Linked DNA regions of Alligator mississippiensis. The protein of the gene in region 2 interacts with the protein of the main gene of each other region in a pairwise test. Links are inferred from orthologs where the notes say so. Each region holds a gene or a part of one and is shown on either strand. Other genes may lie near its edges.

Evidence for each region.
Region 1: the proteins of CREB5 (region 2) and FOSL1 interact in binary tests that used the Homo sapiens proteins (3 or more experiments, as listed by UniProt). The two-hybrid records come from large-scale screens. The link is inferred for Alligator mississippiensis from reciprocal best matches to the Homo sapiens genes CREB5 and FOSL1.
Region 3: the proteins of CREB5 (region 2) and FOSL2 interact in binary tests that used the Homo sapiens proteins (3 or more experiments, as listed by UniProt). The two-hybrid records come from large-scale screens. The link is inferred for Alligator mississippiensis from reciprocal best matches to the Homo sapiens genes CREB5 and FOSL2.
Region 4: the proteins of CREB5 (region 2) and SPRY1 interact in binary tests that used the Homo sapiens proteins (3 or more experiments, as listed by UniProt). The two-hybrid records come from large-scale screens. The link is inferred for Alligator mississippiensis from reciprocal best matches to the Homo sapiens genes CREB5 and SPRY1.

What each region holds. Positions count from the first base shown.
Region 1 is NC_081838.1:5,393,035-5,400,605, reverse strand, and holds the start of FOSL1 (fos-related antigen 1), read right to left. Parts: upstream 3,010-7,571; coding exon 2,962-3,009; intron 1,349-2,961; coding exon 887-1,348; intron 507-886; coding exon 399-506; intron 1-398. Other genes in the region: cathepsin W-like, read left to right, coding at 5,815-5,907, 6,012-6,084, 6,329-6,442, 6,750-6,889, 7,198-7,297.
Region 2 is NC_081828.1:155,044,211-155,051,897, reverse strand, and holds the start of CREB5 (cyclic AMP-responsive element-binding protein 5), read left to right. Parts: upstream 1-4,682; 5' UTR 4,683-6,097; coding exon 6,098-6,100; intron 6,101-7,687. UniProt on the Homo sapiens protein: Binds to the cAMP response element and activates transcription.
Region 3 is NC_081824.1:175,842,926-175,850,290, reverse strand, and holds the start of FOSL2 (fos-related antigen 2), read right to left. Parts: upstream 3,007-7,365; 5' UTR 2,595-3,006; coding exon 2,496-2,594; intron 1,207-2,495; exon of another isoform or gene 950-1,206; intron 1-949.
Region 4 is NC_081825.1:115,751,826-115,759,325, reverse strand, and holds the start of SPRY1 (protein sprouty homolog 1), read right to left. Parts: upstream 3,010-7,500; 5' UTR 2,903-3,009; coding exon 2,835-2,902; intron 1-2,834. UniProt on the Homo sapiens protein: Inhibits fibroblast growth factor (FGF)-induced retinal lens fiber differentiation, probably by inhibiting FGF-mediated phosphorylation of ERK1/2. Inhibits TGFB-induced epithelial-to-mesenchymal transition in lens epithelial cells.

The DNA.
Region 1 (7,571 bases), on a different chromosome or scaffold from region 2:
CCACGCCCCTAGTCCTATCCAAATCCCTGGGACGCCCCTGCCCATCTCGGTTCTCCCGCCTGGCTTCTCCCCCCAGACTCGCCCCGTGCCCCCGGCGGCGGCGGTAAGTGGAAGCTCCCGCAGACGCCGCCGGCGCTGTCTTTTTGTACGGGGTGCACCGCCACGCTCGCGGTGCCCCCTGCTGGGTTTCCTCTGCCCCGGGCTCCGGCCCTTCTGGCCACGTGGGTTAGATGCCCCCCCTCAACATCCCAGGACACCTGATTTCCCCCCACCCCCACCCAATCCCGGACGCCCGGGTGCCGTGCCCAGCACAGCCTCGGACACCGGGTGCGCCCCCAGCCCCAGGCCCGGACACCTGGGTTCTCTCCGTGCCCTCGAGTGGGGGGAGGCGGTCTCACCTGCTGCAGCGACTCTGTGAGCTCCTTGCGCCGGTTCCGGCACTTGGCGGCCGCCAACTTGTTCCTCTCCCGCCGCAGCCGGCGCCGCTCCTCGTCCTCGGGGTTCAGCTGGGGGGGGGGGCGGGGGTGAGTGCGGCCGGGGGGCTGCAGCGGGGCCCGCTGGAACAGGCCGCGGCCGGGGGGGGGAAGCCCCCTGGCCCAGGGCCCCATTCTCCCTGACTCACCCCCCCTGACTCAGCCCCGAGTCATTTCCTCCCCGAGCCCCCCCGGGCCGCGAACCCAGGCGTCCTGGCCCCAAGCCAACCTGGGTGACTCCTCTGGCAAAGCGGGGCGGGCGCCTGGGTTCCCTCCACCCCCCAAGCCCTGTCCCATGTCTCGCCCGGGACCCCCCAGCCTCAGAGTGGGGGAAACTGGGAATCCAGGCGTCCGGGCTCCCAGCCCCCCTTCCCCTCCCGGAGCTGGAGAGAACCCAGGCGTCCGGGACTCACCTGCTGGCTGGGCCGGCAGGGGGGGCCGGGCGCAGGGCCCCGGATGATGCCGGGGCGGGGGTAGGGGGGCAGGGAGGGGCCGGGCAGGCCGCAGGGAGCGCCCGCGGGCGGCGGCGGCAGCAGCAGCCGGGGCTGCACCAGCCACTGCAGGGCCTGGCTGGAGGTCACTGCGTCCACGCTGGGCACGAAGCCGGAGCCCCTCTGGCAGGGGGGGTACTTCTGCAGAGAGACGGGGGTCAGCGTTTGGAGAATCACGCCCTTCGCGGGTAGTACGGGTGCCCGGACACATGGATGCGGGCTGCGGGGCCGCCCCCAGCTACCAGAGAGCAGCAGCACCCAAAGGAAAATCCCTGCCCCCTCAGGCAGTATAGGGACTAGGACACGTGGATAGGAGGCTGTAGTCTCACCCCCAAGTGCCAGGGGACAGCACCCAGAGGGAAATCCCCGTGGGCAGTAAAGGGGCTAGGACACACGGATTCGGGCTGCCAGCCGCGGGGGTCTGTGTGTGGCGGGGTTGCGGGGCGACACACAACTAAAAGAATCCCCCTAGGCAGTACAGTGACTAGGACTCGTGGATAGGAGGCTGCAGACCCGCTCCCAGGTGCCAGCAGCAGCAGCCATGGGGACTCCCCCCCACCAGGGCAGTACTGTGTCCAGGATGCTGCCCAGGTGCCAGTGGGCATAATCCAGAGGGGAATCCCCATGGGCAGTAGAGCGGCTAGGACATATGTCTGCGGGCTGCCAGAAGCTAAAGAAGAATCCCCCCAGGCAGTACAGGGACTCATGGATAGGAGGCTGCATACCCAATCCCAAGGTGCCTGGGGGAAGCAGCAGGCATGGGGAATCCTCGCCTCCAGGGCAGTACAGGGTCCAGGACACATGGATGGGCGTAAGGAGCTGCGAGGGGGGCTCCACGACCCAGCGGGAAGGCGGGGGCAGGGCACCCGGACCCCTTCCCCCATCTGTGCCTCAGTTTACCTCCCTGCTCCCCAGAAGCAGGGCACGGGGCGAGTGCCACTGCCCTGGCAGAGCTGGAGGGAACCAGGCGGCCGGGTTCTGCCCCGTGCCCCGCCTGCCCCCGCTGCCCCACCCGGCGTGACTCAGGCCCCTGGCACTCGGGGCCCCGCCCTGACCCACTTCCCAGGCCAGGCCCCGCCCCCTGCATTCAGGCCCCGCCTCCTGCCGGGGAGGCCACGAAACTGCAGCGTCATGGCCCCCTCACCTGCCCGCGGGGCGGGCGCTGGAGCCCGGACGCGGCTTCTTTCCCTGGACTAGGATGGCTACGGGGGCACCCGAACGCCGGGGGTCTGTGCAGCCCGGGGAGGGGGCCGGGCGCCTGGGCTCTCGGGCTGGGGAGCCGGGTGGCACCCGGACGCCTGAGTCCCTGCCAGGGCAAGAGGAAGCCTGGGGGGCCGTGACTCAGCGCCGTGACTCAGCACCACCGGTCCGGGGATCCGAGGGGGATCCCCTAGCTCCTGCCCGCCCCGGCACGCAGGGCAGAGAACCCGGGCGTCCGAGGTCGCCCCCAGTCCCCCCAGAGCTGTGCTGGAGCCCGGGGTCCCGGGTTCAGCTCCACCGGGAGCCCAGGCGTCCGGGCTCTCATCACCGTCCCCAGTCCCGCCGCAGACTCAGGAGATAACGCGGGAGTCCCGTCCCCCCCCATCCTCGCAGGTCCTCCCGCGGCCCCTGCCGGCCGCTCCCGGCGCTGCAGCGCTGTGTCCATAGCCCTGTACTGCAGCCCTGGGAGAGTCCCCAGCGGACCCCTCTTCTGAATCCTGCGGGCCCCGCTCCCCTTTCGGAGCTGGGGGGAAGCCTGGCGTCCGGCTCCCAGCACCCTCTGGGCTCACTCCCCTCAGAGCTAGAGGGGACCCAGGAGTCTGGGCTTTCTCAAGTCCCCTTGCTCTCGATCCCCAGGCACCGTCCCCGAGCGGGGGGGACCCAGGCGTCCCGGCTCTCAGCCCGCGCCCCAGAGCTAGAGGGAACCCAGGTGTCCCGCTCTCACACCCCAGGCCCCTTCCCTGCAGGAGCTGGAGAGGACCCAGGCGTGTGGCTCCCGGCCCCGCTTTCCCCGGTACCTGGTGGAGGCCGGGGGGCCCCGATCCCGGCGCCGGGGCCCGGTCCATGCCGCTGCGCTCTGTGCCACTCGCGCGGCCCGCCCTTTTTTATGAATGGGAACTCCGCGGCCACGTCACTGCCCTGCCCCGCCCCGCTCGGCGGGGATTCCCCCCGTCCTGCCTCGGGGACTCCTAGTAAGGCCACCCCCCGCCCGCACCTGTCGGCCTCACCTCTACCCCAGCCCTGTGCCGTGTGCCCGCCCCAGCCCAGGGAGCCCGGGGCGTGGCCGCGTGTGACGTAGATGTCCCTATATGGTCGGGTTTCCTCCGGTGGGGCGGGTTTCCCCCGCCACGTGCTGCGGCCAGGTAAACAGGGAGACAGGCAAAGAGAACACACGTGGGTCCGACACACGTGGGTCCCGCGCGCGCGCCTGTCCCGGATGCCGGTGCTCCCTGTGTGGGATTGTGAGCGCGGCTCTGTCCTGGGCGCCTGGGCTCCGTGTCCACGTCTCGTGGGGTCCGTGTCTCGCTCCGCGTCTCCCGGGCGCCGACCCTGGGTGCCACGTGCCTGCATGCCCCGCACGGGGTGCTGGGAGCCCGCACGCCTGGGAGGGGAGGGGGGGTGGGGGGCAGGCCCGGGGCCGCGATGAGTAAAGGCGGGAGGAAGGAAGGTGAGTCAGCCGAGAAGTATCCAGGCGCGACCCCCACAGCGGTGCCCCGCACTCACGACCCGCAGCCCCCTACCCCCCAGGCCTGCCGGTGCCCCTCACTCCCGACCTGCAGCTCCCCCACTCATAGCGGTGCCCCTCACTCCCGACCCGCAGCCCTGGGGGCGAGGGGAGGGAGAGTGGCTAGGGTCCAGCTGGCGCTGCCCCCCATTCCTGTCCCGTGAGTCACTGAGCTCGCTCCCGTGTGTCACATCCTGGCCTGGCCTCGGAGCCCGGGATCCTGACCCCTCCGCGTGCCAGGACGTGAGCCCCGCAAGGAGCCCGGACGCCTGGGTTCTTTCCGCCCTCTGGTCCTGCCCTGGCCAGGCACTTGTACTTTTGATTTCTCTGGCCAGGCACTTGTACTTTTGATTTCTCTCCTTCTGCACAGAGAACCCCGGCGTCCGGGCTCCCGGCCTCGCTGCTCTACCCCCACCCCGGGGCTGCGGGGCACCATCAAGGCTGGCGGGGGGCAGGGGGGCGGAGAGGCAGGGGGCTGCGGGTCGGGAGTGCGGAGCACCCCTGTGGGGGACGCGCCCGGATACTTATCGGCTGATTCACCTTCTTCCTTCCTCCCGTCTTTACTCATCGCAGCCCCGGGGCCTGGTCCCGCCCCCCCGGGAGGGAGCCCAGGCGTCCGGGCTCCTCCCCACCGTGCTCCCTTCAGGCTTTCCTCCCTCTGCAGAGCTGCAGACAACCCAGGCGCCCGGGACACACACACCTGTTGGGGGGGGCGGGGCCCCCGCGTGCCCGCTCTTGCCTCCACCCTGGCTCTGACGTCGGCGCCGGGAGTTATGACGCAGGCCCGGGAGCACCCGGCCCCCTTGCCCCCCTAGGGCATTAGGGCATCCCCAGCCGTCCCCCACCCCCATTGCTCTGATGGTGGGGGGGTGGGCTCTGGGGTCCATATGCGGGGGTTCAGGACACCTGGGTCCCGCGTGTGTGCTGCGGGGGGGAGTGGAGTCTTTGCAGGGCCCCGGGCCCGCAGAGGGTGTGTGTGTGTGTGTGAGAGAGAGTGAGAGAGAGTGCCAACACGGCTACGTGCAGTCACACAACACCACACGCCTCACCAGAGCCTCACCACATGCACACAGATGCCTGGACACATCAGGTGGCCTGGACACACAATACAGAACTCACCACAACCACACAGCCCGGTACACCACACCGCACACCTCACCACACAGCTACACAACACTACACAACTCACCATAACCACATGGCCCGGCGCACAGTGCAGCTACACAATTACACGACACTGTACAAGTCACCACGATCACAGGACCTAGGTCGCAAAACTGTTAACCAACTCCACAAGGCTGCACAGCTCAGCAGAATCCCACAGCCACGCTACACAACTACATACCAGGACAGACGGCTGCCCAAGCGCACGGCCCTGCTACACAGCACACAGTACACCACACAGTTACTTGGTGACACACAACCACACCACACTAAACAACTCACCACAACCACACGACTACATAAGCTATAGACACAACCACACAACACACCACAACCGGCCAGGCCTGCCCGGAGCAGGGGCTGGATGGGGGAAAGCAGAACCACGCAGTGGCACCACACTACAGGGCCAACAACTCCCGGCTGCACAACCGCACAGCACGGCTACACAACCGAGCTAGTGGGGTTGGCGGGGAGTGGAATGGACACACGCTGCCTGGCCACACAATTATGCAAGACAGTGCACCCCACAACTACACAACCCAGAGCTGGCCTGGCATCTTCAGCTGCCGGAGAGGGGAGGGTGACACAGCCCGGTACACAACACACAGCTACACACTGCCCTGTCGGTGTCCCGCACTCCCGACCCGCAGCCCCGCAGGCACACACGGGGCGGGCACCGGCAGCAGCTAGGGCCCAGGCGGCAGCGGAGCCGGATCGGGCCCAGACACACGAGTTCACACCCGGCCGGGGCGGGAAAATGAACATCAGGAGGGGGCTGAGAGGGGGGCTGCGGTCGGGAGTGAGGAACACCAGGCCGTGGGAGTGAGCCCCCCCCGCCACAGGCCGCCGCCCGCCACCCCCCCCCCCATCGCAGCCTCCCCGGATCTCGCACCTCCGCCCGCAGCCCTGCGCCTTCCTGGGGGCCGGAGCCAGCGCCGCCCCCCGGGGCCTTCTTCCTCCCGGCAGCGGGCACAGAGCAGCCATGGGCCCCGCCGCGCTGCGTGCAACCGTCCTGCTGCTGCTGGGCCTGCGGGTGTCGGCCACAGCCCCCCCGGAGACCGCCGAGCCCCGCCTGGTATCGGGGGCTGCGGGCCGGGAGTGAAGGGCACGGGCAGGGCTGGGGGGAGGCAGGGGCTGCGGGTCGGCAGTGCGCGCCACCACTAACCCCTCGTCCCCCAGTCGCAGGCGGAGCTGACCCAGATGTTCGAGGACTTCGTGATTCGCTTCAACAAGACCTACGGCAGCCCCGAAGGTGCCCGGGGTGGCGGGGAGGGGGGGGAGATCTGGGCTGGGGGGGCAGGTGGAGGCCAGGCCTGGGGTGAAGGGCGCATGTTGATATGAGGGGTGGATCTGGCAGGGGCAGGTGGGGGGGGTGAGGTGTGGGCTGGGGGATGGGCGAGGGCCACGTGGCAGGCGACCCCAGGCGGGGGCCCGGGCCACGTGGGGGGCCCGGGGCTGGAGGGTCCCCGGGGTCGCTAACCCCCCCACGCCCCCAGAGCGGCGCCGGCGCCTCGGGATCTTCGCCCGGGCCATGGAGGACGCGCGGCGGCTGCAGGAGGCGGCGGGAGACGCCGCCCGCTTCGGGCCCACCCGCTTCAGCGACCGCACGGGTGAGCCCCGCGTCTCACGTGCAGGCTGCCACCCTATGAAGCCCCAACCCCCGCCCTCAAGCTACGCCCCAACCAGCTTGGCCCCGCCCCAAGCCTCAGGCCCCGCCCCCACAATCCAGGCCCCGCCTACAGCCACAAGGCTCCTCCTAGAACAACCAAGCCCAGAGCTCTGACCCCGCCCCCGCCCTTCAAGTCCATGGTCTCGAGAGACCCCCAACCCAGGCTCCGCCTTGACCCCATAGCCCCGCCCCTGCCTACTTTACCCCCCATAGCCCCCTTCCTGCCCCTGCTTACATCTCTCCTGCAGAGGAAGAGTTCAGGGGGGCGCCTTGGACCCCTCTGGACAGCAGACCCCCCAGGCCCCCCCTGCAGGTCCCCCCTCGGAAGTCAGTGCCTCCCAGCTGTGATTGGAGGAAGGCCAGAGCCGTGACACCCCCAGGTGACCAGGTAAGGGGGGGAAGGACCTCCAATGAGCCCCTGCTGGTGCCCCGCACTCCCCACATATAGCCCCCTGCCCCCCAGCCTTGCTGGTGCCCTTTACTCCTGACCCGCAGCCCCCTGTTCCCCCTGGTGCCTCTTAGTCTTGACCTGCAGCCCCTGCCCCCCCAGCACTGCTGCTGCCCCTCACTCCCTGCCCTCCACACCCCCCAATCTCTTCCGACTGGTCTCCCATCTATACCTACTTAGCGCAGGACAGGGAAGCCCTGGTCTCATCTGCCCCCACCCTTAATCTACCCCCTCCATTTGCTCCGCAGGGGGACAGGTGCCGTGCCTGCTGGGCCTTTGCTTCTGTTGCTAATGTGGAGTCACTTTGGTTTATCCACTTCAAGAAGCTCTACAAGCTCTCCGTCCAAGGTGGGGGAGGGGGGTCTTGGGCTGAGGGTTGAGAGTGAGGTGCACCAACAGGGCTGGGGGTGCAGGTTGGGAGTGAGGGGCACTGGGAGGGCTGGGGGGCAGAGGCTGTGGGTCAGAGTTAGGGGCATCCTTGGGGCTGGGGGGGCAGGGGCTGCAGGTTGGGAATGAAGGGCAGTGGCAGGGCTGGGGGCTGCAGGTCAGAGTGAGGGGCAGCAAGAGGGCTGTGCATCAGGAGTGAGGGGCACCGGTAGCTTGGGGCTGTCCTCATGTGTCC
Region 2 (7,687 bases):
AGGTATGTGATGACACAGCATTCCCTGACAAACAGTTCAGTTTTACCCCATCCCACAGCTGTCCTGACATCATGACTTTAAACAACTGTGACATGTTCTTGGGAACTTAAGTGCCTACAATATCTCACCCCAGAAGTAGCTGCAATTGTGAATAAACTGTAATATAATTTTGAAACCTTTCAAATGAAAACTGTTGCTTATGTCTACTCTGTTTTTTCAAGGGCAATACTTGCAAAATGAAAATGCACCCTAAACAGTTTAATTTGCATTAAGCCCATCATTGCTCAGTAACAAAACCTTTCTTTCCATCCACTTTAAATACTGCTTTCCATCCTTTCTTTTCATCTGCTTTAAAAACACTACCAATGAATTGTTGAAACAGTAATTAAGTAATTATATTCTAAACTAAATACTTTATACTTTGGACTTATCTTTCAAATAGAACAGTATTTGGGGTAATGGTGCATGTATATATATGTTAACAAGTGAAATATTTAGTTATTTATTATGGCAGGACACATTTTTGTATTATTCAAGCAGTAAAAATAGGGTGTCAGAAAGGCAAACAGGTTGGCACTCAAAGGCCCTGTACAGAAACAAAGCATTTTCTTTTTGAGTCATCCAAGCCTTAAGTGCTAAAATCCTGCACTAAGATGCTGAGTGATTATTTCTGAGCCACACTAGCAGGTAGGGGCACTTAACTCCAGTCAGGATATAAAAAAGATGAGGGTGTTTCTTTGAGCAAGAGGAAACTGGAAAATGGGTAGAGAGGTGCTATCAAAATGCACAGGCCTAGGGAGGAAACTTAGGCTGAGGGTGATGTTGTATTATTAATAAGCCAAACTCCAGGAAGAGAGAGAGTTAGATACTGAATCCAAGGGCTGTGTACTAAGATAGCATAGGAACACAGCAGGTTCACAATACAATAGTCAATCATCTTACCAGATGATTCGAAAGATACACTGCCAAGCATTGTAAGAATATTCATTATCAGAGTCATTGGAGTGCTGAGTTGCATTAGTCAGGGTGAATAATAGTTTAGGTTCCATCTGAGATGCAGCACAGACTTTAAGTGTAGGTACTCCAGTTCTGCAAACTAGGCATTTGTAGTCTGAGCAGTTCAGTTGGTTTACTTGAATAAAAATTACACACATCCTTAAGTCTTTGCAGGTTTGGGACCAGGGATAGTACTTTTATATTTGGCATGGTGCTGATCAGATTTGTGCTTTAAAACTCATCAACAACAACAAACAAGTATTTAGCAAGTATTTTCTTGAAACAATGGCAGTGGAAATGCAGTCATAGAGACTTGCCTAATGTCACACAGGTTATAGCAGGAGGGGAACCTGATTCCCAGTCCTTCTCCTTCAGCCAGAGAAAGGACCATACACAGAGCCCATGGCAGGCCAGGGGGGTTGTTTGCATGTTATTTATAAAGGAGGGAAGGCGATGAGCTTAAAAAAAAAAACTTATCCTGTCTAGTATCCCTTTAAGTGTGTATGTGTGTGTGAGACAGAGACTGTATTTTTTTCCCGTTGATTATATTTGTGTCTCAGCCCTGTTCAATCTTGTTGACTAGATTTCAGACTGGTTATAAGGAAAAACTTCTTCAAGGTTCACGCGACCAGATTCTGGAATAGACTCCCACGGGGGTGGTGCAGGCACCTACCCCTGGAGATATTCAAAAGGAGACTGGACACACATCTTGCTGGGGTTATTTGACCCCAGCAGTCTTTCCCACCCAGAGCAGGGGGGCTGGACCCAATGATCTCATGAGGTCCCTTCCAGCCCTAAACTTCTGTGAATCTGTGACTATACAGATTCATAGAAAATGAGGGATGGAAGGGGCTTCAGGAGGTCATCTAGTGCAACCCCCTGCCCAAAGCAGGACCATCCCCAACTAGATCATCCCAGCCAAGGCTTTGTCTAGCTGGGTCTTAAAAACCTCGAAGGATGGATTTTTCCTGCCTGGTGCAGGGGGCTGGACCTGACGATCTTCTGAGGTCTCTTCCAGCCCCTTACAATCTATGAACTTCTATTGCTGGAATGAAGAACACTAGGAGTGAAGCTGTGCTGTAAACCCTTTTGTAGGAGAACTCCCCCCCCCCAACTCCCGTGGTATATAAGATAGACCCGAAATCCCCCTAGCGAGTCCTCCACCCCACAGCGGTGGGCTGTCCCGATCTGGAGTTGCAGCTCAGCTGAGCAAAGAGATCGCTATGAAACACGAGGGACTTGCAATGCGCTAGGAAGTTCAGTCCTGGATTCGTCTGGGCCTATCACGCCGCACAGTGTAACCCCCCTGGACTTGAGTGCAGACCCCCACACCCGACCCAAGTCAGGACACAGCCCCGCAATTTCCAATCTCGGCCCCGTGCCTCTTGACACTCTTCCCTGCTTCCTCCCGAAATCCATGAAGCAGGAGATTTTTTCCAAGCTGACTCACACTTCTAATGTCAGTCCTGTCACTTCCAGCGCTGCAAGCTGTTGCTTGTGCTGTTGCTGCCTTTGCACTGTCCGCCGCCCCCCTCATCCACCCCTTGTACCGGAGCTGACTGCCGGGGGGCGGGGCCCGCAGAGAGCCCGCCCCCGGCCCCGCCCCCGCGCCGCTCCCCCAGGAGCAGGGACCGCAATGATTTAGAAGTTCAGGAATCCCACGTGACGTCACGGAGGGTGATGTAATGCTTCTCTAAATAGAACGTATTGTAACCTTCTCTCAGTCCAACGTGGTTCCTTCACCCAGGCTGCTGGTCCCTTCCCTTCTACACTTGTTTGGTAAGTTCCTAAAAATACTGATCTCCCTTTCTGAAACTCCCTTTACATTGCCTTTCAGCCCGCACTTCCTGAGCGCCCCAAAGTACTTGTTTGCCTGGGATTCGCTTTTCCAAGCAGCGTGTGTGTGAATGAACTGGGGGACGGAGGGGGACCAGGCGGTAAAGTGTGTGTGTGTGGGAGGGCAATCTTATTTAATTCTCCTATTAATGGCCATTTCTTGCTATTCCGGCCGGGACTGCTCCGGACACTGGGGCGATCGGCTCTGAGTTTTGTTTTGAATTTCACTTTAATAATAGTTACTAAACCCATTGGAGGTCCCCCACCCCCGCTTCCCTTTCTCGCTCCTTTTCAGCAGGCTGGAGCAGTGAGATGCTTCTGCGAGGATGGCTGTTGTAGGGGTGCGGGGAGGGCTGGGGTTCACCTCCTCCCAGGATAAAGGGGGGACTGTTACGGATCGAGGTGTGCGGTTCGGGTTGGGGTTTGGGGGGCGGCAGAAAAAGTTGTACGTAGAAATGCAGGCAGCAGCTGGCGAGCGAGAGGGGGAGCTGGGAGTCTCCAGCCTCACACGCCGAGCACGAAGTTGGGAAGTTTTTGCAACTCGGCGTGTGTCTTTTTAAAAGCCAGAGCTGGAGACAGTCATTAGTATGCGGCCGGGAGCGTGTGAGTGCGCCCGTGTGTGTGCCCGAGCCCCGCGGAGATGTGACTGCCTTTGCCACAGCCACTCGCGTAGGTGAATGCTGCTCCCAATAAGTTGCAGGTCTCTTGCTTGAGCTTTCTCCGGATCGGGGTTTTTCTTTTCTCCCCCCTCCCCCCCTTCCCCCTTACTAGCACAGAGAACTGGAAAGCTCTCCCCCCCTTGCATTTCTTTCTGGCATCGCATCTTTCTTGCTCTTGCTGCTGAAATGACAGCTCTTTGGCTGGGGATCTGCTCTGCAAGCCCCTCTTTCGCGTTCCTCCTACATGGTCTTGATTTCAAGCGCTGGAACTTGTCTTCAGCGCAGAAAAGTTTTCCAAGAGGCTCCTTCAGTCCACAGCGGCGGGGCTCAGCAGCGCAAAAGTTGCTCTTGCGTGTTTGTAGTGGACCCCCTCCCCCCCCCCCCTTTTTTTTTTCTCCCTCTTTTTTTTTCTTGCGATCCTGCACAACAAACTGATCCGATCTCCACCCCCTCTTCCCTTCCCCGGCTCCAATCCCCACATGGTGTCTATTGTTAAGGACTCGGGCTGGAGTGGGCTGTGTGTATGTTTCGTTGTTAGGTGTCTGCATCGCTATGTTTGGTTGTCTTCCCCCCCTCCCTCTGACATATCTCTGGGAATAAGGCTGGATCCTGGGCCATTACGTCATTCTGCAGACTAGTAAGTGTTTGATTAACAGCCTCAGATACTGTAGGGTTCAGGGGGTTAGAAATGCTGACAAAGCAACTCTCTCTTTTACAACCTCGCTCGCTAAACACATCTCTAACTACGTCCCCTTCCCCAGCTTAATGCCATTTCCTCTACCCCTTCTCTCTTTTTAGGGTCCTTTCTCCCTCCCTGTAGCTAAGTTTCCTAGAATGATGAGAGCTGCTGGAGTGTAAAGAGGGCTAGTTGCTAAACTCTGCCTTCACTTATTATTTATGTCGAGGCATGATGAGTGAGTCTTCATCTCCAGGGTTTAATACGTGCTTTACAATTGGAAAGAGAGAACTGGTTCAAAGTAATCAAGTCCATGAATGTCCATGTGTGTGGGTCTTAACATGGAACATGCTCCTAAGAGCACTCTTGCTTCAAATAGCATGACCAGATGATTTCTGTATCTTCCAGGTGAGAAATAATACACAGATAAATTAATCTCGAGCTTGAACCAAAGGATAATATATACTGAGGAGCACCTTTCTTGGGCTGTCCCTGAGATGGCACAGTTCAAAGACAACTCTGGTAGTGATCTAGTGAATTGCACCAGAGTTTCCTTGTCTGGCCATTTGAACAATGTCCAGTGTGTCAAATAGCTGTAGAGGAAAAACTTTCTTCTAAGAAACTGTCATGCTGAAATAATCCAGAAACCAGACTGTGAAGAAAATTAATGTATAAAAGAATTTAAGAGCTGTAGGGTGAGAACCAAATGAAAAAGAAAGAAAAAAGTATCTTGCAGCCCACTTTGTGGGAATTTTGCTGAAGTGGATGCATAAATACACACTGGTAGCGTATTGCTTTCTTTCGTTCTTTGGTAGAAAAATGTACATTATTAAAAGCCCCCTTTGGTATTTTGTTACTTTCATATTTTGGATAAAGTTATCAGCATTAAGAAGTTAAAAATATTTAGAAAAAATTCTTAAAGTTCTTATTTGTGACTCCTTAATCCTAATGGGAGCTGTGCAGGTCGCAAAGCGCTAGAGAAAAGTGTGATTAATGATCAGTGATTAGTGATAAGTGATTAGTGGTTTTATTCAAACTGTTACCTCTGACCAGAAGCACGCATCAGAGGATTAACAGGCTCTTTAGATAAATGCTCATTAGTGGAAGGGGGAAAGCAAAGATAATAGGCATGCACACAGGGACAACTTTGGAGGAAAATCATTCCTGTCTCTGGAATAATAAGCATTATTAGCAGAAAGGCTCTTTAGTTTAAAAGTTGCTTTTATCTTGTAAATCAAAGTTAGATGTAGACGTTCACTGTGCTATTATAACCTAAATTTTCCCATATCCACTGGATGTGGATTATCCCAGTAGTGATATTTATTTAAACAAACAATTGAATCTTTAAAGAAACTGAACATTCACAAAATCTAAAGCCTTGTATCTTAAGGTATCCACTTCTTACATAGCAAGTGAAGCTTGCTGACAGCTAACTAGATGGCGCAGTACTGTTCTTTGTGAATATATAGTTCTGGATTATGAACTGAGCAAGTAGCTGCTTGCTAGATGTCCTTCAACACTTACAACAAAGTTGATTCTGTGCTAGGTTGCAGGCTAGACAGTCCTACAAGTTTTTAGTCACATTTTCCATGTCAGTTAATCTAGTGAGTTAAAGGCTACTGGAAAATGTACTCTCATTACTAAAAGAAACGGTTACAGAAAGAAAGTGAGAGAACGGCAAATAGTACAACCTGGGATTTAGCTCTTTACTTCGCTGTTCTAGTTATCATAAAACACCAGACCTTGTTTCTATAGAGTTTAGTAAAATAAGATTCTGATGGCCTGAAATACAAAAATATAGAAATACACAGCGAAGCTTTCTACTCTTAGCTGCCACTAGCAAAGGGAGTGTTAAAATTAGATACATTTGAAAGAAAGTTGACGTGATGGTTGAACAAAACAGCTCTGACCTGATTTTATTGAACAGATAATGGTAAGAGGTCTTTTATTTTTTTCTTTTGACTGACTAAGGATCTCTAATTATTCTATTTTTATCATGTTTGGATTGTATAGCATTACTATCTATTGCTGTCCATAATATTTGTCATGTTTCTACTGTCTTGATTACATAAGAATGATCTACAGTTGTTTGAAGATGTCCAGAACACCGTACTTTCAAAACCTAAATGTTTTGTATATACATTTACAGCGGAATAAAACCTTATTGCACTAACAAAACTGAAATTGTCTCCTGTTTTTGTAATTTTAATTGGGATAGTCTTATGAGGAGTCAGATAACATTTTATGGAAAGACGAGATTTCTTTATATTCCTGACTTAAGTTTAGAAGGACAGTAAGCTCTATCTTGAACTACTTAATATTGGATACTCCTATTCTAGAATGTAAACAGATGTACTCCTAAATATCTTACTCCTAAATAACTTACATTAAAAAATAAATTGACTATATTTAGGAGCTGCTCCTAGGCCAAGGAAACCAAATTAATAATGTGAATTGTATTTACTGAAACCCAAATTTGTCTCGTGGGGCCTTAGGAGTGGGATGGGTGGTGGTTAGAAAGTAGATCTCACTGCTTAGTTTAGTCCAGGAGTGAAGGAAGGAAAGAAAAAACAGTCTTTGAGTTGAGAAAGTAAAATGGGAAAGAGTTATGTCCGTAATCTTGGTTACCATTTGTTAGAACTCCGCGCATGAATAATGGGAGCAAGTTCTGGCCCTCTATGTTTAATTTAAATGCTCATTTGGTTAGTTCACTTGAGAAAGGAATCTCAGATATCCTGAAATTGCCTAAAATTGTTCTGTTCACTTCAGAGGGGTCTTTTGGCACTTTTTGTGAGAGTTAGGGTTCATTCCTACGGTGATGGAAAAGAGGCAGTGTTGCATAGCCCTGAGATAACACTTTAGGTCAAATGCTTTTGTTTAACTCAGGCAAAACCCTTTTTGACAAAGGTGAATTCTATGGAAGGATTTGGCCCTTATCTGTTAACCTGTATATTTTTAGCCATTTTAAAAATTTCCTTCTGGGACTTCAGTCAAGTTACATAGATATACGTTCAAGTATTTAGAGAAGTATTGTTGTCATGTTGTACTCCAATTCTAAAATACAGTCTCTTTAATCAAGGACCTTTGCTCACAATTCTCTCTCTTTCCAGCTCTGAGTTCTCTATCCTTCTAGCAAGCAACATGTTGAATTTATTGCAGACTTGTTGGTTAAAAAAACACTCCTCTTATGGATTAGCCCTCTTTAAATGTAAGCTTAAATACACTCAAATTAATTTTGACATAACTTTTTCAATAATGACCCCCCCCCCCCCAAATTCCTCTTTTTAAAATAAATGTTTAGGTGGTGTGGACCATATCACATTTCATATTCCCAAATTTGATCAAATGGGAATTTTCCTGAGGTAAGGCCTACAGAATTTGGCTTTAACAATTTATTTCTCTACATGCATCCTCTGTCTTGGTAGAAAGGCTCACTTTAGTCTCACTAAGAAGAAAAAGCAACAAGTCTTTCAGTTCCACTTCAGTTCTATTTTTGTTTTATCGACTAAATGAATTCGTG
Region 3 (7,365 bases), on a different chromosome or scaffold from region 2:
ACAAGTTATGAAATAACCCAGGTTTGTGTAACTGGTCCGATTGTGTAATGCCTTCCATAGAAGCCATGAATTTAGTCTGTGCAGGCAAATAAGCCTTTCTGAGGTAATTTCCTAGGAAACTGAAGAGAAAAAGGCCCATTAAAAAAAAAAAAAAAAAAAAAAAAAATCACCAGCCTTTTAGTTTTGTGTATTCACGTAGCCTCAACAGGAAATATCCTCCATTCTTCAGTTTCCAATATTATTCCAGATCAGCAGCTTACCAAAAGACAAAAATGTTAACTAAATCACATGAGCCTTGGAAAAATAAGAACTTGTATTCCTGATGGTCAAAGAGAGCCGGAAAACTGATCAACAATAAATACCAACCAACATTCAGCCAGCTGGGGAATGTCCAAATAGCAGGAGAAAGCAAAACTATCACTCCCTGGGCACTCTGAACCTCTGGCTGAAGCACAAATGCATTCCATCCTCACAGACAGACACGGCCCTTTGGGTAGATGCAATCTCCTTTATTAGACCAGCTAAAGAGTTGCAAAAATTGTTCTTTGCAAGCTTTTGGGCACAAACACCCTTCAACCGACAATCCTCAGACAGGCACTATTAAAAAAAAAAGGTGGGGGGGGGGGAAAGAGAGCATTTTGAACCGAGTTTCTTTAGCGGCCTTGAAAAAAATAAATCAAATAAAGACTACTTTGAGAGATGCCATTTCCATTTCAACTCAACTGCACTAAAGCATCTGGAAACCAAGTCTCCCAGCACCTAACCCAGTAACACAGATGTGAAGAACCTCAGGCTGATGTAGTTCAGCTCAGGAAAGAGCCAGCCTGAGAGAGAGAGAAGGAAGAAGGGTCCAAACTGAAACAAAAGTAGAGGAGAGAAAAAAAAAATAAAGCAAGAGAGGAAGAGATTCACAGATATTTTTTGTTGCTGTTATTTTTAGTGGCATTACCTGGCAGATTCCTCGGCTTTGAAAGACAGCTGTAAAACTGCTGAAAGGGACCGCATAAGGAGGCAAGGTTGCCTTAATGTAGCATACTATTAGGAATTGCAAAATCTGCCAGTGTGTTGCAGCTCACTGAGAATTAGCCAACACTTGTGCTCTGCTTCATCAGTGGCCCTGCTCTACCTATGGGTGGGTGGATTGCTTTAAAAACTCATTCTTTCTTCCTTTCAGGGTTTTAAAATAACTTTCCACTAAAGATCCCATGAAGTCATAGGCATTTTCTTCACCAGAGGTATAAAAAGCCCCAGCTACAACTGCAACCCCCCCCCCCCCCCCCCCAACCACTTACATGCTTTCTGAATTTCCATAATAAAAATGAGGAGCAGGAGGCCCTCTGCTGTAGCTAGCTAGGTACCCGAATTTCTGCCAAGTATCAGGTCAGGGATTGCTATTAACAAACTGAATTATCCAAGCAGGACATAGAAAAGGCTACTGTTTTCCAAGGGAAATTCCTCAAGCAAGGGAGCACATGCTCTCAGACAATTCCCACCCTACTGTTGAAAGCAGCACTTTCCACAGAGATCTCCTCCTTTATCTCCAAGGGTTTGAAGCCACCCTAACCCGCATGGAGGTGATTATAGTGGTCAACTCTTGGCTAAAAAATGAAGGACCATCTCTGCCCTCTCTACTCAGAGAAGTTGCCTGTGGAGGTCAGGACCAGAAATAATTTCTCATGCCCAGCCTCCCATCAAGGTTTGGAGACGTTGCATGGCATTTGGAGGGGGGTAAATGTAAACACTTGTATCAACTCATTTGGGTCTCCGGTGAGGTTGGACAGACAGGTCTGACAGCTTCGGGGGGTCCCTTCACCTCCTAAAAAAGTCAATCAATCAGGGGCTCTCACTTTCCAACTTTATATCTCACTCAGTCCTTCTGGTTTGGCCCCAGTACCTTACTTCCTTAGCCCAGCTCGCACATGCGTGCCCTGCCTTCCACTTGGCCACACGTCTGCCCCCTTCCAGGCACGGCACTTTGGGCAAGGACTAAAACGTCGGTACACGAGTCAAAAAGAAATAAAACAAATAAATAAATAAAACCAAGCTGGTTGAGCGAAGAGAGCACGAGCCGGGACAGCTTCTGGCACCCGAAATCTTCCCCGGCGGTGGCCAGGCAGCAAGAGAAGAATTGCCCCAAGCAGGCCAGAGGCAGCCGGGCAGTGTTGGGACTGGCCCGCTGCTTCCCATTCCTCGCCACGTCGGTGCCCAGCCGCTTGCGGGCCAGTTTCAGTCCCCGGGAGAAGAGCCACTGCGGCGGGAGCCCCCTCCCCGAGCCCCCGGGAGCGGAGCCCGGCCCCTCACACTCACGCGCGGCTGCTTCAAGCCCAAGCTCACTCCAGCAGGGGCCAGCAGAGCCCAGGGGGAGCGAGCCACCTAGTCCCCGGGCTGCTCCTGCGGCCCAAGCAGGGAGAGGCCGGATCCGGCGCGCCTGGGTGTGGCGCCGGACTTCGCTCCCTGCCCCGCCGGGGCCGGGCGGGGAGAGGGCGCCCCCCTACCTGCTGCGCGGCGCCGCCGGAGTAAGGCTCGGGGTGTCCCGGAGAGCCCGTGCTGCCCCGCGAGGACGTGTCGAAGCTCCCGGGATAGTCCTGGTACATGTCCGCTGCCCGGGGCGCTCCAAGGGCTCGGCCCGGGCCGGGCGGGGGCCGCGGCTGTGCCTGCGAGTGTGCGCGTACGTCCCTGGGGTCTGCGCCTGAGTGTACCTGTGTGTGGGTGGGTGTGTGCGAGTGTGTGCCTCTATGAGTGTATGAGTGTGCGCCTCTGTGTGTGTGCTTACGAGTGTATGAGTATGTGTGTGTGTCTATGAGTGTGTGTGTGAGTGTGAGTGCCTGTACCTGAGTTGAGTGCGTGTGAGCGTGCCCCGTGTGCGCGGCGGTACCTGCGGGCGCGCGTGTGCCTGTGGCTCTGCCTGTGTCCGTGTCCTTGAGTGTCTGGGCGCGAGGGGGGGCCAGTCCCACCCCCCGAGCCCGCGCGCCTCCCCGCTCCGCCCGGGGCGCTCGCTAGCTCCCGGCGCCCCCGCTCCGCCCCGCCCCGCCAACAACTCCGCCGCCGCCGCCGCTCCCGCGCTCAACCGGCCGCACGGCTGCCGGGGCGGAGCCGCCCCCCACTCACACGCAACGCCCGGGCCGGGCACGACTTCCCCGCCACGCGCCCCCCCGCCATGTGCGGCCGCGCGTCACCACCCTCCGGCCCCGCCACCTGCGCGGGGGGTGGAGCAGCCCCCAGCCGGGAGGCACCACGCCCGAGGGGGGGAGGTGGCAGCAGGAACCGCCCCCGCCTGCTCAGTGTGGTGCCTCCCCCCACACTCCGATTGGTCCGTTCTATTGGCGTGTGTTGCCAAAAATGGGCATGTGCGTGCGACTACGCGAGCGCGGGTTTCCTTGGTTCGGATGACGCGTTCCAGGAGGGATTCCCTGGCTGCGCGGCTCAGCTACCGGCGCTTAAAGGGGCAGCGCCGCGTCGTGGGGGAGGTGCAGGGACCGGGCTCCTTCCGTCTCTCCGCTGCCGCCCCCCTGCCCTGACTCCACCGAGACCGCCCCCCCGACCCTGTGAAGGTGGCCGAGCGGGCAGCCACTTCACGGGAGTCACCAGATAAACCCGTGGGCTCCCCGCAGGAACCACGTGTGGCGTCCTCCAGCCGTGCTCTCGGCCAGGGTCCGTTCCTCCAGGCCCCCTGAAGAGCTGGCAGGCCAGGGGAAATGTGGTCTCTCTTACTGGACCAGAGGGGAAATTTTTATTTCCTTGAGGAAATTGTTCTTTGCAAGCTTTGGGGCATCCGGGGTGCGTCTACACATTCATTAAGGGCACATCTTGGCATGCACATTTACTGCGCAGTAACTGCAATTGCCACCCTACATGTGCAACCCTGTACTGTGCAGTAGCTATGGTGACTTACACCAACTTGAATGTAAATTTGATACCTGCATCATACAGGTATCAAATTTACACTCAATTAGTTACCACACAGTAAGGCACGTGTAGACACCTTACTGCACAGTAATACTCCGTGTGTGGACTGACTTGGGACTAACTTTAATCCTACAGAGAGTTATTGTACTTCAATGCCTGCACATGTAGACACCGGTCTATTCCCGCTTACTGTACAGTAACATACTGCACAGTAAATTTAAGATACATGTGTAGACACGCCCTACTGCTCCTTAGATACTGTGCATTTAGTTTAGTATGTCCTTAATAAAGCACCAACTAAACGCGCAGTACCTAGAGTTACTGCACAGTAGCACCAGCACATGGTGATTTAGTGATGCTTACTGAGTGTTAGCTTAATAACACTGTGCAGTAGTCTATTAGCATGATTTTTGCTGTGACACGCTACTGTGTTACTAAGCCAATACACAGTAAGCGTCTTGTGTAGACGTGTCCAGGGAGTCTTCTGCTGTTTGCCTTTTCTCCTGGGTCGAAATGGAAGCTTAAGCCAAGATGCAAAATGCAGGTCTGTGAAAACACAGATGCATGGCAGGGAGGATCGGAGGCAATAGGGGTGCAAACACTTATGCCAGATTCGCCAGACAAACCCAGAGTTTTCTACTATGAACCCACAGTGTCACAACTGTTCTGCCCTGCGGCCATCCGCTACTGCCCTGATTCTCAACCCCACCCCCCTTCCCCTCCCCAACACTCGGAAAGTCGTCAGGCGACACTGGTGCTGTGGGGTGGGCAAACACGTGGGGGTCACCAGATAAACCTAGAGATTTCCCACAGGAACCCAGTGTGTCGTACCTGTTCTGCCCTGCTGTGGTTCCCCCCTGCCATGACTCTCAGCCAGGGGTGTCCCCTCCTTTGAGATCCTCCTAAGGGTGGCAGGTGAGACAAGTGCTGTGAAGGGTGCAGAGGCTTGCCAGACAAACCCAAGGATTTTCAATGGGAATTCTGTGTCACACCCCTTCTGCCCTGCTGTGGTTCCCTACTGCCATGACTCTTAACCAGGGGTCCCCCACTCCCTGAGATCCTCTTAAACGCAGCAGGCAAGATGAGTACTGCGCAGCGTATACACACTGGCTGTGTCTACATGAGACGCTTACTGCGCAGTAGCTCGTTACTACTGTGCAGTAGTGTCACATGGCACAAACCGTTATGTGACACTACTATGCAGTAGTAATGAGCTACTACACAGTCAGCATCACCAGGAAGCTGTGTTGGGACGCTACTGAGCAGTAGCTCCACTTACTGAGCAGTCATTTAATACTTGGGCATGCAAGTACTAAATGACTGCATTTAGTACTTGGGCATGCAAGTACTAAATGACTGTGCAGTAACAGCTGTGCAGTCAGCATCTTGTGTAGACATGGCCACTTACATGGGATTCACCAGATAAACCTGGCGTGCATCCCCTGCCATGCATTTGCATTTTCACAGACCTGCATTTTGCATATTGGCTTAAGGTTCCCTTTGACCCTAGAGAGTAGACAAACACCAGCAGACTCTCCCTATGCCTGAGGAAGGGCACCTGTGCCCAAAAGCTTGCAACGGACAATTCTTCCAACTATAAAATATATCACATTTACTCAAAGGACCTTGTTTGCCTTTGTCCTTAGACCAACACCCAAATAAACCTGGAGATTTCCACTGGGAAATCCAGTGTATCATGCCTGTTCTGCCCTGCAATGCTGCTTCTAAGCTCCTGGCAGCAGACATGGTGCTTTATTACAGCGTTTCTTTTTCCTGTCATTAAAAAGGAGTGAAATTAGTTTTTCAAATAGGGTGCTGCTACGTTCAGGAAAGTTATGGAGGGGCACCGTGAGTCTAACGTGGTTGAGAACCAGTGATCTGCACAGTGATTCTCAGCCAAGGTGCCTGGAGATCCTTTCATGGGATGCCAGAGGGTGCCATGCAATGTCAGCACTGTAAGGAATGCAAGCGTGATTTCCAAGATAAACCTAGAGATTTTAAATAGGAATCTGTAGCATGAAAAGCATTCTGCTCTGCTGTGGGCTTGCTGAGCTCTTTGCCACAGAAGAATTGCTCAAGTATTTTTCTGCACTCAAAAACCAAGTGAAAATTTAAGAGTTGGCATTTTCTGAGGTGCTTCTTGGGTCTAGAAAGGTTGACAACCGCTGCTCTACACTCTGGGTTGCCCATCTGCAAAAGGGATGTCACAAATCCTATCACCCAGAGCTGGAGTATTTTTTTAAATTAATTTTTGCAAAGCACTTTGATCTGAAAGGTGGAGCATGTATGTTATTTACAGACCTCTGTCTCAAGGTGTGTTAGCAGCACTGCTTGAACACACTTTATTGCATGCCAGCAATTACCATGTTCCCCTAGGTGGAACAACAGCCACTTACTATTTGTCAGTCTCTGCCAGTGCAGGTCATCAGAGCACATGGGGCTGAATAGGAACCTGCAAATCAGCGTTTCCCTTCACAGCTTTAGTAGTAAATATAGAAAAACTTGTGACCCTATTATCTTTAGATATGACTAAATCCCACAGTTTCCTGCATGTGACATTGAGTGCTTTGGTTTCTGAAATGGAAGAACTTTTTTCCTAAAGGTTTCTAAACAACTAGCCATTGAAGCCTCTAGGAAGTGGTAAATGGGTGGAAACTGGAAAAAAAGATTATGTGACATTAAACATCAGTGAAAGATGTCAGAATTGATAGGCCAAAGGGCTTCCCAGCCCAGCCCCTCCTTCAGCCTCTTTAGCATACTGCTGCTGCTAAAATCATCTCCTACTGCTGCTGCTGCTCCACCGTCTCAGTGCAAATTCTCTTTTCAGGTCCTCCACAGTTCGCTTCTGTGTGTGTATCTCACCTTCCTTGCCTTCCTCAGCTCTGTTGGGCTGCATACCCTGCTCAAACCTTTTTTCTTTGAATGCTGCCCATGTTTCCTTCTACTCTCAATTTTGTGGTTTCTTTCACCCTACTCTGTGCATTTGAAAGCAGTCTCCTCCTTGTGTCACAAGTTTTCTCCCTTGTTCTTCCAAGTCTCTGTTTGAGAAATAATAAACCTTTCTTCCTTCCCCTCACAAAACCAGTGATGCTCTGGTGATGCTGGGTATGCATAGTTAGGGTCCCTCTTGTTTTTAACTCTTCTGCCTCCTCCTACAAATTTGTCTGCTTGTGCACTTTAGTACGTAGGCATTGTTTTCCCTATCATATTTATTGGAATCACACTGCAAAACCCTCAGAAACCAGGTCTTACTTTACATTTAGAATTAAACATGGACACTGTGAAGTTGTGTATACATGACTTGTAATAATAATGTTATGTGTGTATCCACAGAATGTGTACAGAATAGTACACTCTTTCCATGATAAGCATTTACCCTGTTCTAGGGCAATTACCTATAATGAAGAGGCTAAACCTACACTATAGCCTTCTGCTGGCACACCTATGTTGCTCAGGGTT
Region 4 (7,500 bases), on a different chromosome or scaffold from region 2:
AATGGAGATGAACGGTTTGGAAAGTGTCAACAGAATATTATTTAAAGATGTAGGTAAGCAATATAAAATTGCGTGAAAGAACTAAGTTTGCAAGGTCTAGGAGAAGGTCATGAAGTGTGAACAAAGAGGAGGTGGAAGTAAATTGACACACATGAAAGACAGAGAAAGTTAAGACATTTTTTGGATAATGACAAAAGGCTGTAATAGTGTCACCGGTTCATAGGAGCTAAATTATTAGAGAACACTCAAAGGCTTCCACTATTTCACAGGGAAATTACCTGTGCCCTGACCAGACTGGCAAGAATCTTTGATACAAATCAAACTAGAAACCAGGATAGATTATAAACATTGTTGAAATCTCCCCCAGGACAAAATAATTAAAAAAAAAATAAGAATCTTTAGTGAGCACTCAGAAAAGTGCATTATTTTGCATTGTTGAATTAGATAACATAGCAGTGGCAGCACTCAAAAGTGCCCTCCAAAAACACAAGGCAACGTAGATGAAAGCTGTTCCAAACAAATTTTAGGAAGGGATCTCAGACTGGAAATCAAATTTAAGGATAAGGACACATTACTAATATGCACATTCAAGTCCAACTATTATGTTTATTGTAATTGATAACTGGGATGTTTGCAGGGTGATGGGGATTTTTACATGTGCTGTGGTACGCAGAGCTGGGCACTTTAATTAGCGAGCTGTGCTAATTAAAAGCCCCTGCATGACACATGTATCAGCTGTACAGCATGTCCCTGCACTGAGAAAATGGCAGCAGGGTGCTTTGAATTAAAGCACATCAAACACATTTTATTTTGGAGTACCACTGCCATTTTCTCAGCATGGAGACGTGTTGCACCACTGATACACGTGACGCAGAAGGCTGCCAGAGCGCATCAATTTCTGGGCTCCAGCAGACTTGATTAATTGAGTCTGCTCAATTGAGTGTGCTCTGATGCAATTGCCAGCTCAGCCAAGTCTGCTCTCTACACGTGTGTAAGTGCCCATAGTTTCTAAAGTAGATAATCTAAGAAACAGATGTTTTTAAGTAAATTACATGGTCACAATACACAAGCTAATTGGTACCTATCACAATTTCAGGGCTAATGATATATCATCATTGTAACATTAGAAGATTTTTTTGTTTTTCCATTGAGCCATCCGCTACTACTGCTCCAAAATCAGGTCACTGTTGAGTAATTAATTTACAGGGATGTAGGTATGTTGGTGCACTGAATCATAACATGTTTAGGCTTAAAATCTTAATAAGAAACTAAGGACCCACTTTATGGTACTCTATAGCTCAAAACCATCTTATCTACTACACCAATAGAATATTAGATTTCAAATGAAAATCAAAATGAGAAAAGGCAGACATTAAAATACAGGTACCTAGGAAAAGTATAAGCAGAACTGGACTTTCATTCTCTAGCTGAGAGGTTTCAAAGGGAGGTAAAAGTGCAGGCTTCAGAGCAGTGATTCTCAGCCAGGGTGCCAAAACACTTTGGGGTGCTTTGAGATCTTTTCAAGGGCAGCCTCTGGATGCCACATAATGTTAGCATAGTTAGGGCTGCAAACATGATTCACAAGATAAAACCAGAGATTTCAAATAGAAATTCATAGCTGTGCTCGTTTTGAGTTCTTTGCAACAGAAAACCTACTTTATTATTGTTCTGAAGTTAAAAAAAAATCCAAAAACTGAGCTGACATTTTACATGGGGTGTCTCAAGTCTAAAAAGGATGATAACCACTGCTCTAGAGCAACCTTTTTGGATCATGTCTCTTTAGGCTCTGGGTCAAAGCCCATTGACACTACTGGAAACTCCTACACACTATACAGGGCAGAAACGGCAGCAGGTCTCATTAACAGTCAAGTCCTGACCAGATGGGCTTATTGATATACATGATGAATTTCAAAGTTAAAATTCCAGATTGCAATTATTTGATAAGAAATAACTCCTGAAGGAAACAAATCGGATGAAACAAACCTTGATACCTTGTGGGCCTTTGTATCTAGTTCACATTAAATATGTTACGATCAGTCAGATCCTGCCCTTAACTCAATCAATGGCAACTGACCTCCATGAGAGTTGCATCATGCCCTGTGTTACTGCTTAAAAGGAGAACCAGAGTTTGTTTTCATTAATGAGGCCTCCATGATGCCTCAGGGGTATATCTTCAGTGAGTGAGGGATCAAAATCTGATAAAGCATGTGGGTCAAATCCTGAAACCTCCAAGATCACAGATCTCCCAGTGTACAAATCAGAGTTGTGCCTGTCTAAGTACTTCAAGCTTTGATCATAAATTTTCAATTTAAGTATATTTATTTTAAACAATTCAGTATCTATAAAATGTGCGCAAAAGCAGAACAATCCATACCATTAATATCTGATGCAGCTTATTTGACTTAGGCAGGAATATTTTAAGAGAGTCTTTCATATTTTACAGATGAAGAGTGAATATTTCTTGTATGTTCAGTGCCTTCCCATCAGCTGTCTAAATACCACACTTAAATTATTTTGCCTAATATAGTCTCGAAGCTGAGAGGATGCATGTATGTATGTATGTATCGCATGTAAAAAAAGGGGGGCAGAAACAGACGCTATAAAAGTAGCATTGTGGTACGTCACACGCTAGGTTCTATGTTAGCAGCAATAACACAAATAGCCATAACTGTAAGCAACTGAGCAAACATAAATTGATAGGTACTGTACCTGTGAATTACAGAGCCATAAACACAGCTTGAGCAATTTTGCAACAGTAAATCACTACAGTAATCAGGAGAGAGAAACCGGTGGGGGGGAGGTTCATATTGCAATATCTTAAGAAAACTACTTACCAAATTAATGCATCTGGAAGTCTTTCAAATGACCACTTGATTCCAGAAGTGATGTGACACTGTACCATGAAGTCTACAGCCTGGGAATGAGGTGCGACATATTGCCAACATAAGAGAGTTATTTTCTTGACTGACCTGACAAGGTACAAGCCTCTGTATTACTATTTTCTTAATGTTCCCTCATAGCTAGTCTCTAGTCAAACTAAATTTTGCTCCAGTTCTTTCTCAGTGTTTCCCCACCCAACTTTATACAAATTCTTATAAAGGTTATGTACAGACTTGTACAAAATTGAGACTGACATTGGCCCTTGGAGAATTTCCCAGAGCAAGTTTAGCAGAGATTATATAACAAGGTAAGTCTGTGTTCCTTTTATATGCATAGAGTTTATTACACTACTTGTTTATTCCTTCTAACCTAACCTCCAGCCACCTTCCTAAGTAACTCTCCTGCCCAAACAACTCAATGACAAATTACATTTTTAAGAGATTAAAGACAAAACGATATTGCTTGAAGCACTGTGTTCTCATACCTAGCACACTATAGGACAAGGATGTCAACATATTTAAATCAAGCCTCTACAAAACATAATGACCATTGATTTCCTTTCAGGTGCACTATAAATGAGGTGGTAAAAAGTATCTGGATGTGCTAACCCAAAATGAAAACATAGTTCTATATATTTTCTCTAGCAAACATGGTAACGACATCAAGGCTCTACATTTTTACTCTGCTTTTCAACAAGAGATCTTGAGTTACCATATAAAGCTAGGGGAAAACTGAGTCTCTGAGAGGTAAAGTAACTTTATCAAGGAGATAAGAGTCACTAATAGTCCAGAAGCAGCCCAGATTGCCCAACTCTCAAACCTGTTCCTACCGTGTAGCAGGATATGGCAATTCTGTAGAGAAAGCAAAATAGCTTAGAAGAAACTGATGTCATCTTATTCTTTCAGAGAAATCTCATCTGGAAGGGAAGGAAACATGCCCATACGTGGCTATTTTGTTTTTATCCAATGATTTTAAAATCATGAGTAATTATGTTAGAAAATGTTTCCAGTAGCTTACAGTGCCAACAGGAACCCTAATTTCAATTATTTTCTTTATATGTGGATATATCTGAACACACACAAAAAAATCAGGTGGTTGAAAAAAGCTGTCTAAAGCAAGTCAAGGCAGACAGAAATGATGTTCACATAAAGTGGAAAACCCTTTGAGGAACTTGTCAAGGGCCCCACCTGTGACCAATAGCAGATTGTTATGATGGAAATGCCTTGCTGCACCTGAACACGTACTTTTCTTATAGTGGTAAGAAAACACATTTGGCCTCAGCCTTATTAAGAGACTTTACTCACTCCTCTCAGATGAGAACTCAGCTGCAATGAGCCAGACTTTCATCTCCAGACTGAATTATTGCATTGCATTTCTAAAGGGGCTGAGTACAATTGCTACAAAAAGCCTGAAGTTAAGGCAGTTCATAAACTGTGTTTCATTCCAAAAGCCAACCTGGTGCATCATACTCATGCTTCAAACTCTGAGCAGAGTTCAGAAATCTGGTCATCCTGATCTGCAGGGTATTTACTAGACCTGGACCTAGTGACTTCAGGTGCTGCCTTATGTTCTGTGGGCACATACAGGTGGCAAATTTAAATCAACCTAAACCAAGGCTAGTTCAATCCAAGTGCCTGACCTTAACTGAGTTATTTTAGCTCCCCCACCAAGCAACCCACCCTACAGCCTCCCCAATCCTGCCAACCTTCCCCTTGATACCCCCCCATCTCTCTCCCCCACTCCAAATTACTTATACCCATTGCCCTGTGCTGTTCCCAGAAGCAGCGAATGCCTGCATGCGCCACTCCCAGTCTACATATAGGCAGTTTAAAACAAGTGGCATGAACATAAATCAGATGCAGTAAACAGTAGTACTCACCCTATGATTCCTCCAGATGAGCAAACTACACAGGGATGATGCAGAGAAACAGGCATTAGAAAGAGACTGTTCTCAACAGTAGGACCAGGAAAGATCAGACTGAGCCTCCTATTGACAGGTATCATGCATTTTAAGGTATAAAGCAAAACCTTCTCCAAACTCCTCTTACCATTGGTGATGCATAGCAAGTGCACGTGCACCCCCTGAGTGTGGTGGTGCACCCCCTGCAAAAAGGTGCCACCAACACTGTTGGTGGCACCTGCGGGTAGTCACCACTCATCACCCCCCCCGCCCCCCCGCCACTGACACCACTGGTGGTCTGCGTGTGATTGCTGACCACTGGTTGGTGCTCACCCCCCGCCCCCAGTTGTGTGGCTGCCTGCAGGAGCTCCTCGCTTACCGCCACCTGTGGGAGCTCGCTGTGCGCCCCAGCCTCTGGGGGCACATGGCATTCATGCTTCTTACGCATCAAAAAACACATTTCCAATAAAAATCCTGCATACAGAGTCAGGCCTCTGTCCTAGAGAAACAAATGTGACAAAAAACACTTTTATCTGAGTTTTTATGCACTTGTATTTTGGATGATGCTAAGATGCCACAGGGAGAGGTGCTACAGTATATAACAAGAGAGGGGCTTTTTTTGTTTTAGTCTCCAACCATTTTTAAGAGTCCTCTAAAAAAAAGTGTGTAAAATCAGATGATTAAAAAAAATGCCTACAAGATTTATGAGCATAAGTTCCTTTGGCACTTAATGATCTTGAAAGTAAGAACTATAAAGAGCATGAAGTAGTACCGTACAAGCTTTTCCCCATGAGAAACTTTCGCAAAAGACCTCCAAAATGATTTAAAATAACCAACATTCTACAGTCCTGGAGTTTTCTTAATCAAAGAGAGCCATTTATGCTGAATTGTTCTATAGTTTTAAATGTAGATCATTCTTCATGCTTAGGTAGCACTTTCATTTAAGGGTCCAAAGCCATTTCACAATAAAATTAAGATTTGGGGCTTCAGGGGCACCTAGTGAGATTAAGCACCAGTTCAACAATTGGATGATCAATTCCTTCAGGTCTCTGAAATTCTACCCTATCTGCTTAAATCTTACAAGCAAGGAAAGTATTAACCCTGTTTTACAAATTGGCACACTGAGGCACAGGACAGTTACACACCTTGCCCAAAGCCACATTATGAGTAGAGTTAGGAACAGACTCTAGGCAATCCAAATCAAAGGGCCCCATTTTTGACATGGAGAAAGGGCTAAGGTGCATGACCCTATTTGCAAGTGTGAACCTTTTTTTTGAACAAAACTCTTAAGTTACAGATCATGGAAATATCCAAAACAATGCACTATTGTTATTCACCTTAATGCTTTCAGACGTTCCGAGAAAACACAGTATTTTTCCCTTCACCATGATGAACAAACTACTGACAATTTGAAGAACAAACTATACTTAAAAAAATAAAAATCATTTTCTTGTCAAATGAGCATTTTGTTGTCAGGGAAATGTTCTGTGAAAAAAATTCATTAAAATTCCTTTGAACTTACAACATCCTCTGAGAGATTCATCCCCAAGGAAATTCAGGCAGTGTTTCCACTGTTTCCTTTCCTTCCAAAGTTATGCTAAGGCAGGCTCAGAATTCACTGGGGCTATCCACATAAGTGTAATTACCAGGTGCAGCAATGAGCATGTACACAATCAAATGCATCCTAAGCTGCCCTGACCACAACCCTTTTTTAGCAAGCAACAGTCCATTTTAGGGAGTGTGCAGGCACCTGCAATGGAAAGATTGTGATCATGGATTTTTTTTGCTGCTGGGGAAACAGTCCAAGATTTGTTGAGAAGCCTGTATCAGCTTGTGCAATTTAGCTCCCCAAACCAGAAAGAACAGAGAATATAAAATGTATTGTATGTCATTTTATACTTGCCTGGTAATCCAGCCGCGATAGGGTTAATATGAAAGAAACAGAATTCCACTTTGGAAAGACAAAATATGACAGTTTCTCAGTTAGGGCCCAGTTGACCACTTCATCACTAGTTTATGGCAGTAAAAACCCTGTTATTCATTGATATCAGTGCAGGTACACCAGCATCAAACTGTTCTAAGGCACTGATGTACCCTGCCTCCAATGCCAGCAGGTAGCAAGATACTGACCATTTTTGGGGGTATCAAGAACTCTTCCAACTTGGGTCTCCTATCTTTAACCCTCCCCTTTTATGTCTAAATCAGTAAGTGTTTAATATGAGAGTAATCCTGATTCCTGTTTGTTTTTCTACTGTTCTCCCCTGCTCCCCCTTGCCCTAGTTTTTTTTAAATCAATTCCTCTTTTTCATTTGAATTCTTCCCTTCCCATTACCTACAAGACAGGGAGTTGAAAATTTTGCCCCATATGAGTTAAACTTGGAAAAAGGAAAACTCCATCAGCTACATCTTCTTTTAATTTTCTCTGGGAAGTGCAGGAAGGGGCCTAACAAAGCTGTATGCAGGCAATTGTGTTATCAAGGCACTTGGCACTACCAACTGATTCTTGATTACTATTCATTCCTCAGGAAAATAAAACACCCTTTTGTAGTAAAAGTGTAACCGGTTACTAAGATGCCTTACATATCAACAAAAGTTGCTTTTTACAAAATTGCATAGGATAAAAGAATGAGAGTGGAATGAGTCTGAGGTAACCAGTTGGTCTTACTCTTTTAAATGGAAAGCAGAGAGTTGAAACATGTCTTCTCCAGTCTGAAGAAAAT